Linked DNA regions of Caenorhabditis elegans. The protein of the gene in region 2 purifies or fractionates together with the protein of the main gene of each other region. This does not show direct contact. Each region holds a gene or a part of one and is shown on either strand. Other genes may lie near its edges.

The links. Proteins that work in one complex are often made in the same cells at the same time.
Region 1: the proteins of crn-6 (region 2) and crn-1 purify together in Caenorhabditis elegans (affinity purification with western blotting, with the first as the bait; one study listed by BioGRID). This does not show direct contact.

What each region holds. Positions count from the first base shown.
Region 1 is NC_003279.8:3,478,567-3,485,966, forward strand, and holds crn-1 (Flap endonuclease 1), read left to right. Parts: upstream 1-3,430; 5' UTR 3,431-3,463; coding exon 3,464-3,553; intron 3,554-3,897; coding exon 3,898-4,605; intron 4,606-5,396; coding exon 5,397-5,548; intron 5,549-5,600; coding exon 5,601-5,799; 3' UTR 5,800-5,934; downstream 5,935-7,400. Other genes in the region: Y47G6A.9 (DNA-directed RNA polymerase III subunit), read left to right, coding at 790-921, 1,479-1,662, 1,944-2,128, 2,619-2,783. UniProt on the Caenorhabditis elegans protein: Structure-specific nuclease with 5'-flap endonuclease and 5'-3' exonuclease activities involved in DNA replication and repair.
Region 2 is NC_003281.10:9,363,914-9,371,952, reverse strand, and holds crn-6 (Cell death-related nuclease 6), read right to left. Parts: upstream 4,683-8,039; 5' UTR 4,681-4,682; coding exon 4,589-4,680; intron 3,995-4,588; coding exon 3,892-3,994; intron 3,845-3,891; coding exon 3,761-3,844; intron 3,715-3,760; coding exon 3,486-3,714; intron 3,438-3,485; coding exon 3,328-3,437; intron 3,188-3,327; coding exon 3,100-3,187; intron 3,051-3,099; coding exon 2,929-3,050; intron 2,861-2,928; coding exon 2,717-2,860; intron 2,665-2,716; coding exon 2,548-2,664; coding exon of another isoform or gene 2,515-2,547; exon of another isoform or gene 2,353-2,514; intron 1,717-2,352; coding exon 1,669-1,716; 3' UTR 1,572-1,668; downstream 1-1,571. Other genes in the region: flp-25 (FMRF-Like Peptide), read right to left, coding at 6,777-6,865, 7,677-7,878. UniProt on the Caenorhabditis elegans protein: Involved in apoptotic DNA degradation.

The DNA of each region.
Region 1 (7,400 bases), on a different chromosome or scaffold from region 2:
CTTCTATACTTTTTTTAAAATTATACTTTTATTCAAAAAAAATCAAAATTTTCAAAAAAAAAGAAATTGGGGGAAATTTGATGTTTTTTGATCGGAAAAAAACCAAATTTCCAAAAACAAAATTTTTTTTTTGGAAAAATGAAAAAAAGTTTAAAATAATCGATATAAAACCAAAATCCGATTTTTTTAGATTAAAAAATAAGCTTTTTGGATTTAATTTAGAATATTAAAGACTTTGAGCTTTTTTGCTGAGAAATCAATCAAGATTTTCTGGGTAAAAAAATTCAAAAACTGAAAAACCACATTTCACGAAATAAAATTCGAAAATTGTGTGGAATATAAAAAATACCAGAGATTTATATGAATAATCAATATTTCTGAGAAAAATACCTAAAAATTCAAAAAAATTCAAAATAGACTTCAGAAAAAAGCCACAAACGGAAACTGAAAAAATCCAACTTTTAAAAACTCGATTTTTCATTTTTGGCTAATTAATTTCCTCCAAAATGAGCACTGCGACCAATCAGCGATTTGCTCCGCCCATTTTTCAACCAATCAAACGGAGTGGGCGGAGTTCGAAGACGCTGATTCTCATTTTGGAAGGAATTAAAATTGGAAATTTTGCCAAAATGAAAAAAAAAACGATTTTGTTGTGGTTTCTCTGAATATAAAACTATTTTGGGAATTTTAAGACAAACTGGGTTACTGTAATGGAGCTAGACCAGTCTACAGTAACCGGGGCTTAAAGGCGCACGCTTCAAAATGATTAAAAACCTTTTGAAATTCCAGATGAGCGGAAGAGGACGTGGTGGCGGATCTTCGAACACTATGCGTAGTGTCGCCAACGCGTTGGGAATCGCTCGATACGATATGGCGAAAATGATGTCACAGCAGAAGAATGAGCCGCCACAGTTGTATCCGGTACGGGCTGTGGAGCACCGGAATAAGAATTTGAAATTTTTTGAAAAAAAATCTGGAAAAATTGAATAAAAAACCATAATTTTATCACCCAATTTTGCGACTTTTCCGTCAAAGTGTCAAAGTGTCTGGTCTCGACACGGCAATTTTTTATTAGTTCAGAAAAGGTGTGCGCCTTTAAAGATTACTGTAGCTTCAAACTTTCGTTTCTGCGGAATTTTTATCGATTTTTTTCTCTCGATTTGTAAACATTTTATTGTTTTTATTACTCTAATATTTCAGTTTGTTAATAAATATATTTTTATCGAAAAACTAAGAAAAATATATGAAAATTGCGTAAAAAGTTTGAAATTACAGTACTCTTTAAAGGCGCACACCTTTTTGCATTTAACAAGTTTGTCGTGTCGAGACCGGGTACCGTAGTTTTAGCAGAAATTTCTCGTTTTTTCGAATTCCTTCCAGAATCCAAAAAAAAAGAAGCCAATTCTTCAACTGAACTAGTCCTAAATTTACTTGAAATCTTTGAAAATCAGTATTTTAATGAAATTTGTATTTTTCAGAAAGTGCAACATGACCCCGTTCCACTTGAAATGACGACTGACATGCTCTACGTATCCCGTTTAAAAGTTGAACTTGATCAACGAATGCGTGATTCACAGTTCTTTATTGAAGCAGAGAAAGACGACGAAATTAAGCGTTATTTGGATAAATATTCGAATATTAAGAGGGAAAAGCTTAGCATTGGTACGGAAATCTAGGTGAAATTGTGTCTCAATTTCAGAAAAAACAAAAAAAAAATTTGAAAATTCAACTTTTTGGCTAAATGAGAAGAGCGGCCAATCAGCGATTTGCTCCGCCCATTTTTCAACCAATCAGATGGAATGGGCGGAGTTGGAAGATGCTGATTGGTCGGAGAGTTCGAGGAAATTAGCCAAAAAAAGATTGAATTTTTCTATTTTCTGTAGCGCTTTTTCTGAATTTAAGGCGATTTTTTAACCTTTTCAAATTCATAAAATCCATTTTAGATATGTCCCATATGCCGAATGAGCTCATTTGGCGCCGAGCTAGCTCGAAATCCAAGGAATCTTTGGCAAAACGACGAAAAGTCGCCAATGACGATTCGATGATCAAGGAGAAGTTGAAAAAATTGGAAGAAAAAGAAGCACAGAATAAGGATGATGATGATGACGATGAGAAGGCTGATAATGATGTAATAGATATTTTAATTTCAGATTTTTGACATTTTATATGGGACAGGGCATTTTTTAGCACTTTTTTTTCAGAAAAAATCGAAAAATAATTTTCAGAAAAATCGAAGTAAATAAGTAGAAGAAATGCACGGAAAATGACGAGAAAACTAAAAATCGAAATTTTTCGTTTTTTCGAGAAAAATAATCAAATTTTCAATAATTTCGGGTTATTCCTCATGAATTGCAAAAAAAAAATATTTTCTCATCAAAATTGGCATATCTTTTGATGAATCTAGAGTTTTCTCGTCCCTTTATTTCTGAAAATAAAATTTAATTTTAGTTGAAACATTTGGAAAACTGCTCAAAAAATGTTCGAAAGTTGGAAATTTCTAATTTTCAGACGATTTTTGAGTGGTTTTTCAATTGTTTCAACTAAAATAGGAGCTATTTTCAGATAAATCACTACATTTTAATGAAAATAATTGGAAAAAAATCATATCTTAATTTCAGAAAGACTCTGGCAGTGAAAAATCCGCGGCAGAAGAGGAGGAGAATCCATTATCAGATGATGACAATCAGGAGGAGGATAACGATTACATCTCGGCTTACTTTGATAATGGAGAAGGATATGGGGACGGCGGTAGCGATGATAATTTGGATGCCGATGATATTTAAAGAATCTCCGGACACTTTTTTTGTTGTTTTTGTTGTTTTTCTCTCAATTTTTGAATATCATTGTTAAATATATGAATTTATTTATTGATTTTCCCTTAAATTTAACCCTTTTATTCGTTATTAGCTTCAGATTTAACCAATTGGTTCAGAAAATCGGTTTTTTCAAGGAAAAAAGTGTCCAAATAATGATTACGCAATCGCGCTCCATGGACAACTAATTGAACGCACCGTTTTCCCGCCAAATTGAACGCAGCTCCGATATTTTTTATCCTTTCTTGGGGTTTTTTATAGTGAGAAACACAATTTTAAGCAAATATTTTATTGTTTTTAATCAATTTTAAACGAAAAATATATTAGAATTGTTAATTTATCGTTTCGCAATCTCATACTCATCTTATTTTCTCGAAATCTTGGAGAATATCGGGGGTTTTTCGTTTTTTACGTCAGGAAAGTGCGGCGAAATCCGTATAAATTCGGTGAAATTTCATGAATTTGACTGATATCGTTCGGTAAAACCTAAAAAACCCTATTTAATTGGAGAACAAAAAGGAAAATCGTGTTTTTTTTTCGAAATTCGCTGTAATTCGTTTCCTACCCCCGTTTTCCACTCAAAAATCCACAAACTTCCCAATTTCAGAATATTTCAGATATAAATTCACAAGGACTAACCCCACACCGCTATGGGAATTAAAGGACTCTCCCAAGTGATTGCTGATAATGCTCCCTCCGCGATTAAAGTCAACGAGATGAAGGCGTTCTTCGGAAGAACAGTACGGGAATTTTTTCCTTAGATTTGCAAAATTGAAGGTTCAAAAATTCGAAAAAATAATTTTTTAAAGCGAAAATCTCCAATTTCGTCTACTTTTCTGTGCGCCGCAGTCTGATTTTCATATTTTAAAATATTTTAGTCGTTTATCTCCTGCTATTTTGTTGATTAATGATTTATCGGTTCGACGCGATAAATCAGAAAAATTTGAAGATTTTCAGCTCTAAAATTGGCTCATTTTTACATAATTTTGAACATTTTGAAGAAATTTCCGGGTAAATGTCTTAAATTTCGACGAGTTTTGAGTCTTTACAAGCAAAAAAACAAAAAAAAATGTTTTTTTTTCAGGTAGCAATCGACGCATCAATGTGCCTCTACCAATTCCTCATTGCTGTTCGTCAAGATGGTTCCCAGCTTCAAAGTGAAGATGGAGAAACCACAAGTCACTTGATGGGAATGCTGAATCGTACGGTTCGAATGTTCGAGAACGGAGTGAAGCCTGTCTACGTTTTCGACGGAAAACCACCGGATATGAAGGGTGGAGAGCTTGAAAAACGTTCCGAGCGTCGTGCTGAAGCAGAAAAAGCGCTGACTGAGGCCAAGGAGAAGGGAGATGTTAAGGAAGCGGAGAAGTTCGAGAGAAGACTCGTAAAAGTCACAAAACAACAGAACGACGAGGCGAAGCGTTTGCTGGGATTAATGGGAATTCCAGTTGTCGAGGCTCCATGCGAGGCAGAAGCTCAGTGTGCTCATCTCGTGAAAGCTGGAAAAGTATTCGGAACTGTCACTGAGGATATGGACGCGCTGACCTTCGGCTCCACGGTTCTTCTCAGACATTTCCTGGCTCCAGTCGCCAAGAAAATCCCGATCAAGGAGTTCAATCTTTCTTTGGCTCTCGAAGAAATGAAGCTAAGCGTTGAGGAATTTATTGATTTGTGTATTCTTCTCGGCTGTGACTATTGTGGAACTATTCGAGGCGTCGGGCCTAAGAAGGCTGTTGAGCTGATCAGACAGCACAAGAATATTGAGACGATTCTTGAGAATATCGATCAAAATGTTCGTCGTTCGTAAAATGCCTATTTTATTATAAACGCGCTCCACGGCAAATAAATGCCCCGAACCATGGGTCTCGTTAGGTACTTGCCGGTGAAATCATAAATTCGAATTTTTCACTTAGTTTTGCCTTTTTTTTTAAATTAATTTTGGCATGAAAATCAATGGAAACAACTAAAAAAGCCGAAAAATTCAATAAAAAATTAGCAAATTTTGAACTTACGGTTTTGCCGCCAAATAGCTAACGAGGCCCATTATGCGTGCAAGCGTAATTTTTCGAGAAAAAAAAAATCGAATTTCCAATATTTTCCTGTCATTTTTCAATTTATTGGAGAAAAATTATTTTATTTTTCTCATCAAACTTTAAAAAAAGCTATATTGTTTCTCCTAAAGATTTATTATTGAAAAAATTATGAATTTGTTCGTTTTTCGATTTTTTCTCTGAAAAAAACTCGAAAAATTGAAAAAAAATAAATCGAAAGTTTTCAATGTTTTTTGTGAAAAAACTGACAAAAAAAAGCGGAAATTTTCAGTTTTGTCTAAAAAAATCGAAAAATTTCAATTTCCTACTAGAAAAAACCGAAAAATGGAAAATTTTCTTTTTTCTCTTAAAAAAAATCGAAAAATTTCACTTTCCTTCTAGAAAAAAACCGAAAAATCGGAATTTTTTAAACAACACTTTTGGCTCGAAAGCGGAGCCTTTTGAATTAGCAGTGGAGCGCGTTAACACATCGATTTCAAATTGGATTTTTCTGCGGATCTATAATATATCTAATTTCTAAAAAAAATTCCAGAAATACCCACCACCAGAGGATTGGCCATACAAGCGTGCTCGTGAGCTTTTCCTCAATCCAGAAGTGACAAAACCGGAAGAAGTTGAACTGACATGGAAGGAAGCCGATGTCGAAGGTGTCATTCAGTTCTTGTGCGGAGAGAAGAACTTCAAGTTTGTCCCCATGAACCTCATGAACTTCATCTAATTTTTCTTTCATTTCCAGTGAGGAGCGCATCCGAAACGCGTTGGCAAAACTGAAGACTAGCCGTAAATCTGGAACACAAGGACGAATTGACTCGTTCTTCGGAAACTCGACCAAGGTTACATGTGTGACAGCTGCGACAAAACGAAAGGCGGAGGAAGCTGAGAAGGCGAAGAAGGGAGCAAAGAAGGGTGGACCACCGAAGAAGAGAGCCAAGTAGCTCACACTAACTATTCAATTTCTTATTTGATTTTTGTGAAATATTGATTGAAACGAAATAAGGTTTTTATTTACCTTTATCCTTTTTTTAATGGAACACACAAAGCTAAGAAAACAATAAAAAATTTGGAAATTTTCAATTCCGTCAATTTGCCGATTTGCCCAACACCCATTTGCTGGAAGTTTTCAGGGTTTTTTATAAGACTGACCAATTTGGGAAATTTGAATTTTTCAATTCCGGGAATTTGACGATTTGCCGGAAAAAAATTTTGCGGCTTACCTCTGATGCATACTATTACGGGAACACTAAATTCTGAGAATGCGTATTGCACAACACATCTGACGCGCAAAATGTCTCGTAGCGAAAACTACAGTAATTCTTTAAATGATTACTGTAGCACTGTGTCGATTTACGGGATCTCGATTCTTGGCATGAATTAGTAAAATTATTATTTATGGATTGAATATTAAAATTTAGCGAAAAATGACGAAATAATACAAGAAACGGAGGAAAATTATAAATCGCTATCGATATTCAAAAAGAAATTATAAAACATTCCGAAAATCGAGCGCGTAAATCGACACAAACCGTACAGTAGTCTTTAAAAGAATTACTGTAGTTTTCGCTACGAGATATTTTGCGCGTCAAATATGTTGCGCTATCCGCATTCTTAGAATTTTGTGTTCCCGTAATAACAATACTGCGAGGTTCCTGATGGACACATCACACATTATCTGTACATTGATTTATGATGTCCCACGGGGTTCTGGCCGCTCCATTGACAATCGCCCAAAAAAATAGATTGACATACCAAAAAATAGATTGATATACCAAAAAATAGATTGACATACCAAAAAATAGATTGACATACCAAAAAATAGATTGACATACCAAAAAATAGATTGACATACCAAAAAATAGATTGACATACCAAAAAATAGATTGACATACCAAAAAATAGATTGACATACCAAAAAATAGATTGACATACCAAAAAATAGATTGACATACCAAAAAATAGATTGACATACCAAAAAATAGATTGGCATACCAAAAAATAGATTGACATACCAAAAAATAGATTGATATACCAAAAAATAGATTGATATACCAAAAAATAGATTGACATACCAAAAAATAGATTGACATACCAAAAAATAGATTGATATACCAAAAAATAGATTGACATACCAAAAAATAGATTGACATACCAAAAAATAGATTGACATACCAAAAAATAGATTGACATACCAAAAAATAGATTGACATACCAAAAAATAGATTGACATACCAAAAAATAGATTGACATACCAAAAAATAGATTGACATACCAAAAAATAGATTGACATACCAAAAAATAGATTGACATACCAAAAAATAGATTGATATACCAAAAAATAGATTGACATACCAAAAAATAGATTGACATACCAAAAAATAGATTGACATACCAAAAAATAGATTGACATACCAAAAAATAGATTGACATACCAAAAAATAGATTGGTATACCAAAAAATAGATTGATATACCAAAAAATAGATTGACATACCAAAAAATAGATTGACATACCAAAAAATAGATTGACATACCAAAAAATAG
Region 2 (8,039 bases):
AGATTTTAACTGAAATCCGATTCATGTTTTCTCATGGGGTGGTGTTCTATATCTCCGCCTACATTTACTTATTTTGAAAAGAGGAGTGTTCTTGAGAATATCAAATGTCGAGTTTGTAAAAATTAGGAAAATTAAAAAAAAAATAACTGAAATGTAGTAGACTGTATTTTCAGCGATTGCTGCCTATTTCATGCCCGAAAAATATAAGTGTGCTTGAATATGAAAGCTCGCAGGCAAACACTTTTCCCAATTTTCGCCAATTTTTTTTTGGATCAAACTTGGGCTCAACACCCCAGTCCAGCCTGAAATTTGCCCAAACTTTGCCAACTTCTGAACCTTCTTCCCCACGTTTGATCTCGAAACTATATTACGGTTACTTGATCATCTTATCGCTCACATGTTTTGTCCTTTTTAAATCCTTTGATTCTTCTTCTTGCCATTTCATTAAAACGTGAACGAATAAATATATAACCAAGTAGAGGATTTGGGCGACTTTCAGAAAATCAGAAAATACATTGCTTCAAATTGTTAAGCCCTCTTAGAGAGTAAGGAAAAAAGGAAACTGAACTGTTTTGACAATGAGCAAAGTATTTTCTTATTTCTTTTCAACAATGGCATCTAGTAAATAAAAATCCGAAAGATGAAGTGGAATTGTGCTTCTATTATCTAAAAAAGAAATGAGGGAATAAAAGATAAAAAAGGGACGAAGCGTGCGGTCACTCAACCAAACCAAATCTTGCTAAATTCATTCAAATATCCATATTCACATATTGCAAAAAATAAATAAATAATGGTTGAATAATTACAACAGATGCTAACTGTCTATATTTGGGAGTCCATACGCTTCACTAATCAAAAATTGAATATTTCATGAAAAATTATAATTTATTGAAATTCAGAAAGGACACTTATGAAAGTCTTCTGACATATGATTGTGCAGGTGAAGAGAAGTTTATTGAGAATACTTGGAATTCAAAAATCATGTAAATCCTGAAAATTACTTAATTAAAGTTGAGATATATGTGATTTTCGAAAGATCAAGTAAATGAAATCATATTATTCGTGAGAAACCAACGAAACATAATGCTGAAATATACTTTATGGAAATAACTTTAGCACTGTGGGTCGAAAAATTTTTAGTAACTGAATATCTCTGTAGGGCATCTAAGTAAAAAAAATACATGACTGAAAGGCGGGGGAAGGCCGCTCACGCCTTTCTCGTTCCTACAGACAGAGACATAGATTATGTCGGGCACATTGCAAAATGATTAACTTTCTGAAGGCCCCGCAAAGGCAGGCATGCTTGAGGTAGTTAAAACAGATCTTATAAGAATAGTGAAATGCCCCAAAAAAATTGGCAAATCTCAAATAGTTGGCGGCTATGAAACTTAATGGAGGAAAAGTTAAAGTTGCACCAACTCCGGAAAGTCTCAGCTCACGAAAAGTGAAGTCAGAGAGTTATTTATCTACTGTTTAAAGTTATTATTTAGAAATTAATATTTTTGTTGAAGTCCGACGTTTAGTAAAAGAAACAGGTGAGAAAAAACGAATAATCGAACAAAAATCTGGTACTTGAAAAACTTTTTATTGGTTTTTACATTACACACATATCCCATGGCTCCCGGATGCACAATTGTTGTTTTTATGATTTCAAAATTGCTATCAAGATCACTTAAAGAAGGTTATAATTGCGATAAGAAGAACTGTTAGGGTCGCCTGAAATGAGGAAGAAGATTAAGTGACGGATCAGCAGGAAGAGAGAGCTCAAGCAAAGAAATGATCAAAAAGCGCAGTGTTTTGAAACAAATAAATGGAAAGACATTGTTTGACATGATACTTGTGAGAGACACTTCACTCACTACGTTTTTTGAACTTCAACCTTTTTTTTGACTTTGCATTCCAAAATCTCGTGGCTATGACGTTTCAGCATGAAATTTCAAAAAAATTCAAAAAGGAGTTTTGGAATTTTCGAGAGAATATAATTAATTAAAAATTAGAAAAAAGGTTGTCAAAAGCGCGATAATTCAAATAGGAGATTTGCGAGAGCTGAAATATCACTAACAACCATGATCATTTTTTTAAACTTTTTGAATTAAAAAAAACTTTTGTGGCATCTTAAAATTTAAAGTAAAGTTATCACCGAAAAAAACTGTTTTTCAGAACTTCGACTAATTCTAAATTAACAAAAAAGGTTCATAAAATATCCAAAAATAGACAAACGGCAGGCTACAGAAAATATGTCCGCTGTTTGGCTTCTCAAGAATTTTGACTTTAATATTTGTTTTGTACAGCTCAATTGTGTATAATATCAGCTAGTTAGCTATTTTTCAAACCGGAAAATTGATCAAAATTAGGCGGAAGTTTATATTTAAAATTGCGATGACTCAAAACACAACTGCTCCATCACTTAATTTTCAGAGGTAGTATTTTAGGGGATGGGAAAAGGGAATAACAAATACAGACAGACAACAAAGAGATAAATATTATAATTAAATGATGATTCATAAATGATATCTAGAAATATCGATTGTTGGCAAGCGCATCTACCTTTTCAGCCGTTGCTTTTGTGCAAGGCACTGTTTCACTGATGATATTTGCGAATTGGAAGTATGTTTCTTGATCGTAGATGCACATTGTTCCACCGCCACGATGGATTTGATGACTCTTAAAATAAATTCAACCAATACTTATTGTTAAATTAATGTGTTTAAAATACCTGACGATTGATATCTCCAATACAAACGTATGGAATTGGTGGCTTTGAGGAGCTTTCACTATATGCCACGACGAACTTTGAATGATCTTCATAGCTGGAGTAATCGATTGCATATGGAAGACGAATGTATTTTGCACTCATTGTCTGAAATGCAACAATTTTGAAAACTTAACTACGCTTGAATGCCAAAATATGAAAAAAAAACTCCTTACCGACTGAACATGATTGGGATCACAAACTGATGGGAGATTATACTCATCTCCGCTCTGATGATTCCATGTTTCAACTTTGATCGAAGACTTCAATGTAGGACCGACAAAATCGCTGTAGAGATCTGAATTTTCTTACAATGTTTGCGAATTGTCACAGAAATCAATTCTTACCTTTTCCCCATTCACCGGTTTTCGCGAAATGTCGGAAGTGTTGGCCACCAAGTGATTTCAAAACCTTCGTGGAAGTGAGTGGTGGACTCTGAATTCAAAAATATTACATTAAAAATTATTTTTTTTGAGATAAAAAATCAATTTTGGAAATTTGTTTGAAAACAGATTTTATAAAATGTTATATCACTTGGAAACCGGAATAGTTGTCAGGCGCAAGAAAATTCCTACCTTGTTATATTCCTTATTTTTCAATTGAGATAAAACAGGAAACTGGTTTGCAAAACTCTGTGGCAAATTGAACTGATAAGTGAATGTGTTGTAGTAGAAGAGTTGTTGAGCTGAATAGTATATTTCTTTAAAATAACTTGTATAACCGACTGTATTACCAATAGTTGCCAAGGAAACCGTATTGTAAGAAATACAAATTCCCATTTGCCCATAATAATGCGCATTTGATGGGAATCGGAACATATCTTTACTCGGGAACTTTGGAATACTGTGAATCATCCAGAATCCGGTGTATTGATCAAATACAGTAACACCCTTTGCATGTCCTGAACTATTACTCCAGATTGTGCTATCAGGCCACTCGTCATTGTACATGTAGCTGAATGTCTGAAAATTTACTTTCAAAAAAAGCAACGTTCAAGTATTATCTGACCGTATTCATATTCGAGTTATAGTACTGTTGGAGGGTATAATATACGGCATTATTCTCAACATCCATTCCTTGTGGCATAAGTTTCTGAAATTGATTATTATTGGTAAAACTTCAATTAAAAAAAAACAAACCCAATTTTTATTATTGACATCAAAATACAAGAATCCAGTTCCATTTGAAATTGGTACATTGTCTGGATGATTCCAAAGATGTGGAAGTTTGTAGAAGACGAACCTCAAATTCAATTTTTTTGAAAAAAAAAATAATTTATTGATTATCTAAAATTATGTATTTCGGCATTATGTCTTTTTGAAAGAAAAAACAACTCATGGCATCTATAAAAATTTTCATAGTTTAGTTCTGACATTCTTGAATTTCATTTTGTGATAAGCCGATTAATAATATTATTAGCCGTTCAATTTGATAAGAAAAGTGTGAAAAGTCATCAGTATAGTTTGCAAGAATATTTGATGACAAGAAAAGAAAAATGTTTGAATTGAATTCCAGAACTTTTGGAAGCGGCTGGCTGAAATTTTATCATGCAGCCCCCTAATTGTATTGCACCGACTTTACGTCAGACTGTGAAAGTGGATGTCTGGTATATTAACCCCTAATTAAACGGTATAAAATTGCGTTTTTTTTTAAATATTGATTACTTTTCCAAAACAATATGAAGCATTCAAAAATTAGTCCTGGAGCCTCTTGACACCCTACAAGTCGATCAAGCGTTTTACATGCAATACCACTAGTGAAAATACTGTAACTTTTTTTTTCTCTACAAAAGTTGCCAAACTCAGCCCAAAACTCATATATTCCCTTGTAACTCACCAATCTACATTACTTCCATTATTATCCTTGCATTGGTACGCGGCATTTGATATCCCAATAAGTGAAACTATCAAGATAATTTGACGAATCATCTGCAATAATATTTCAGAAAAAGAAGAAGAAAAAACGAAAGAAATGCAGAGTATTGAGAACGATAATTTTTTATATAGGTGTTAAAAACTCAGGACATAAGACGATTAAATGTTTTGGTACCAAAGATGAAATTTTTAGTTCTGTCACTTATTTTAGCCACTTTTCAGCGAGAGGAGAAGTTGTACTTTTCTATTTTCAGAGAAGAGGCTGTGAGTTGAGAGTCACGTGCTGATAAACTAGATTTTAAGATAGACAAAGCCTTTTCCTGTTCTTTTGAAAATGATAAATGGTCTCAGTCGTCGCCGAGAATGAAAAAGAAAATAAATTTCAATAAAATGTTTTATGAACATTGCCAGTGCTCAAAGTTCCGATATATTCCTCATAAATGAAAATACCAGACACAATTATTTTCTTGAATTATATTTCAAGCACAGTTTCTTAAACAAATCACAATAAAAAATTAAAGTTACAGTTAAATAATGAGGCTCCCTGAACACTCGAAAATTCAGTACGACAAACTTAAAAAATTGAAATATTAGATAAATGACAGATGACCAGTACCAACTCAATCAATACTGCTGACGTGGCAGCTGAACAGACACCCATTCAATAAATAACCTTTTATTGTAACCGCTGTTTGGTTAGATGATCTTATCTTTTTCTTGTCTAGTAACACCTTCTATAATTCCCATATATTCCTTATCATTTCTCGGACATCGTGACTGATGTCGTCATCAAACTGTGCTCCGAAGAGCATACAAGAATGATGTTTGCTGCGAAGAAGACATGTTAACTACAAATGAATCACTTTCTGATCTCGTTTGAAAAATTCAAGACTACTAAAAGTCGGTTTGACTCCAAAAAAAAGGCATTTTTATTAATCAATCTTTGAAATAGAGACAATGAGTTCAAAAAGGCTTTATATTAATCTTAAAAATTGCCAAAAAAAATCAAGTTTCAGTTTAAAAATTCCATTAGTATTTTGTGCAGCGACTTGATAGTGAGTTGTAAAGCTCAAAACAAAACATATTTCACAGTAAAAAAAAGTGTTGCATATCTGAAGAGACTTGAAATTTTTTTAAACTGAAATTCAGTGCAATCAAGCAGTTTTGCAGATTCATTTTATGAAAAGTTGTTTCAATATTTTGACATTGTCTAAAAAATTTAATTCTATTGCAACTGATCATTTATATTTCCCGTTCAATCCCACATTGTACTTCCCTTTCCTATTATATCAAACATTATTTCATCCAAACATCCAAAACCGCCTTCGATCGATTTTCTGAAAAGTGGAACAGCTGAAAATCTCTTCGTCATGACTTTGTTCAATTCCACCTGCTTCTCCTTCTCATTTCTCTCACCTACAGTAGTCAATAGAATTCAGTAGCATTGGGAACAAAACTCAGATATTCTTAGTCAATGTCGTAAAGGTCATTAATTTTTTAAATAATTTTTAATTAATGAAAAATGAAACTTGAGTAACTTGAGTATAACAAAACTTTGATGAAACCTGGGCGTTGCCGAACTAGAAGGTTCTGAGGGTTCCACAGGAAGTTTGAAATTTAAACGAGATATTTGTAATTTGAAAGCTTTTAATTGTGAATTTTAAGCTGCAAAATTTCCGAGCTGAGCTTGCGGTGAGCTTCCAAAGATTCTGCATAAGCGGTACACTTTTGGTATTTCATGCCAAAACATATCATTTTTGTGATTTTTTTGAAATATTTCTGAAAAAATAAGAGGAAAGTCTTGCCCAACGTTTTCGATCTTGAGCAAGAAGTTGATGCAAAAAGCAAAGCTTTCAAGCACTTTTTGCCATAAAAAATTATGTTCATCCAGGAAATACAATCAACAACGTTTTGCAAAAACAAATAAAACTAAAAATTGCAAGGTTAACGTGTCAAGGCCGGTTTATTATTGGAAGCAATCAGCACACAACATGATTCATAAATATATCGTGGTGTATCACATAAATGACAATTATTATTCAGATGGAATTAAAGAAGTAAATAATGAAAATAAATGAGATGTTGTTCTAGTTTTTTGGTGAAAAGTGGAATGTCTATGAAGGCGCCGCGTGAATATGGATGAATTGAGATCATTTCCGACCGAAACGGATGTAGTCGTACGATGCCTTCTTGATTGGAGCAGCTCTTCCAAATCGAACAAAATCATAATCTCGTTTCACTGGAAAACACTTTTTGGTTTGATAGACTTGAAAATAGAATTGTTAGGGTTATTACTCGTAAATGAATATTAATTTGATTTACCTGGGACATTGACATATCTTGATTGGACATTGCGCGAAAATAAGGAAATTGGGGGAAAATAGGATTCAGCTTGGAATAATATGTTAGATCAAAAAATTTGAGGGGTTTTGAGAAATTATTTGATAATTTGTTTTTCCAACTTTTGGCTTTTATGAATTTTAACCTTTTTGGTTTTAACGACTACATTAGCTCACCAAAAACAATTTTTACGTAGATTTCTATTAAATTAAGTTTCGATTCAAAGTGATTAGATTTTCCAGCTCTATGCAATCTTTGAGTCCTTAGAAAAGTTTCATTCATCAAGCTAATACGGAAAGATTTTTCTCAAATGACAGCTGGCAACGGATCTTAAAGTTCCAATATTTTGGCTGAGTTTTTAAGAGAAAATTAATAATTTCAAAATACTACACCACTTCAACATCTCATTATCTCCTGCCATTGGTTTTATTAAAACTTGTTCAACTTTAAAAAAATATTGTGCAATTGTTGACATTCATTTCACTGTTGATAAGTTTCTTAATAAGTCTTCAAAAAAACTTAGAAAATAGATGTCCAGACGGGTGCTAAAGTTTAAGGTTCTTTGGATAAATTGTTCTTATCTCTTAGAACTGACCAATTTTTTAGAGGCAATTACCATACTAACACTAATTCAATAACCATTGTCTCTCACCAAAAAAGTAGAAGGACGGAGAAAAGTCTCCCCCCGTATGGAAACAAAATACACTCACTTTTGAACTGTGACGAAGGTCTGGCAAGAAGATTGGAAAGACGAGTCGACTCATAGAGCTCCGGAGGGAGCACCAGTCCCAAGTCGACGGCTGCCGAACCATCTTCCTGACAATCAATGGAGCACTCCTTTTTTGCTTCGGTGGTGGCGCAGAGCAACACAAGGAATGCGACCAGAAGATAGATCATCGAGTTGTGAGACATTTGGCCACTGGAAAATTTAAAGATTTTAAAGAATTAGGAAAGTTATTTATATTGATTAATAAGGATCGGAAGAATTTCCTAGCTCACAGCTTTATGAAACCAACTATCACAGAAAAAATGTCTAACTATAAGTAAATAAGCTATGAAAATAGTATAGAATA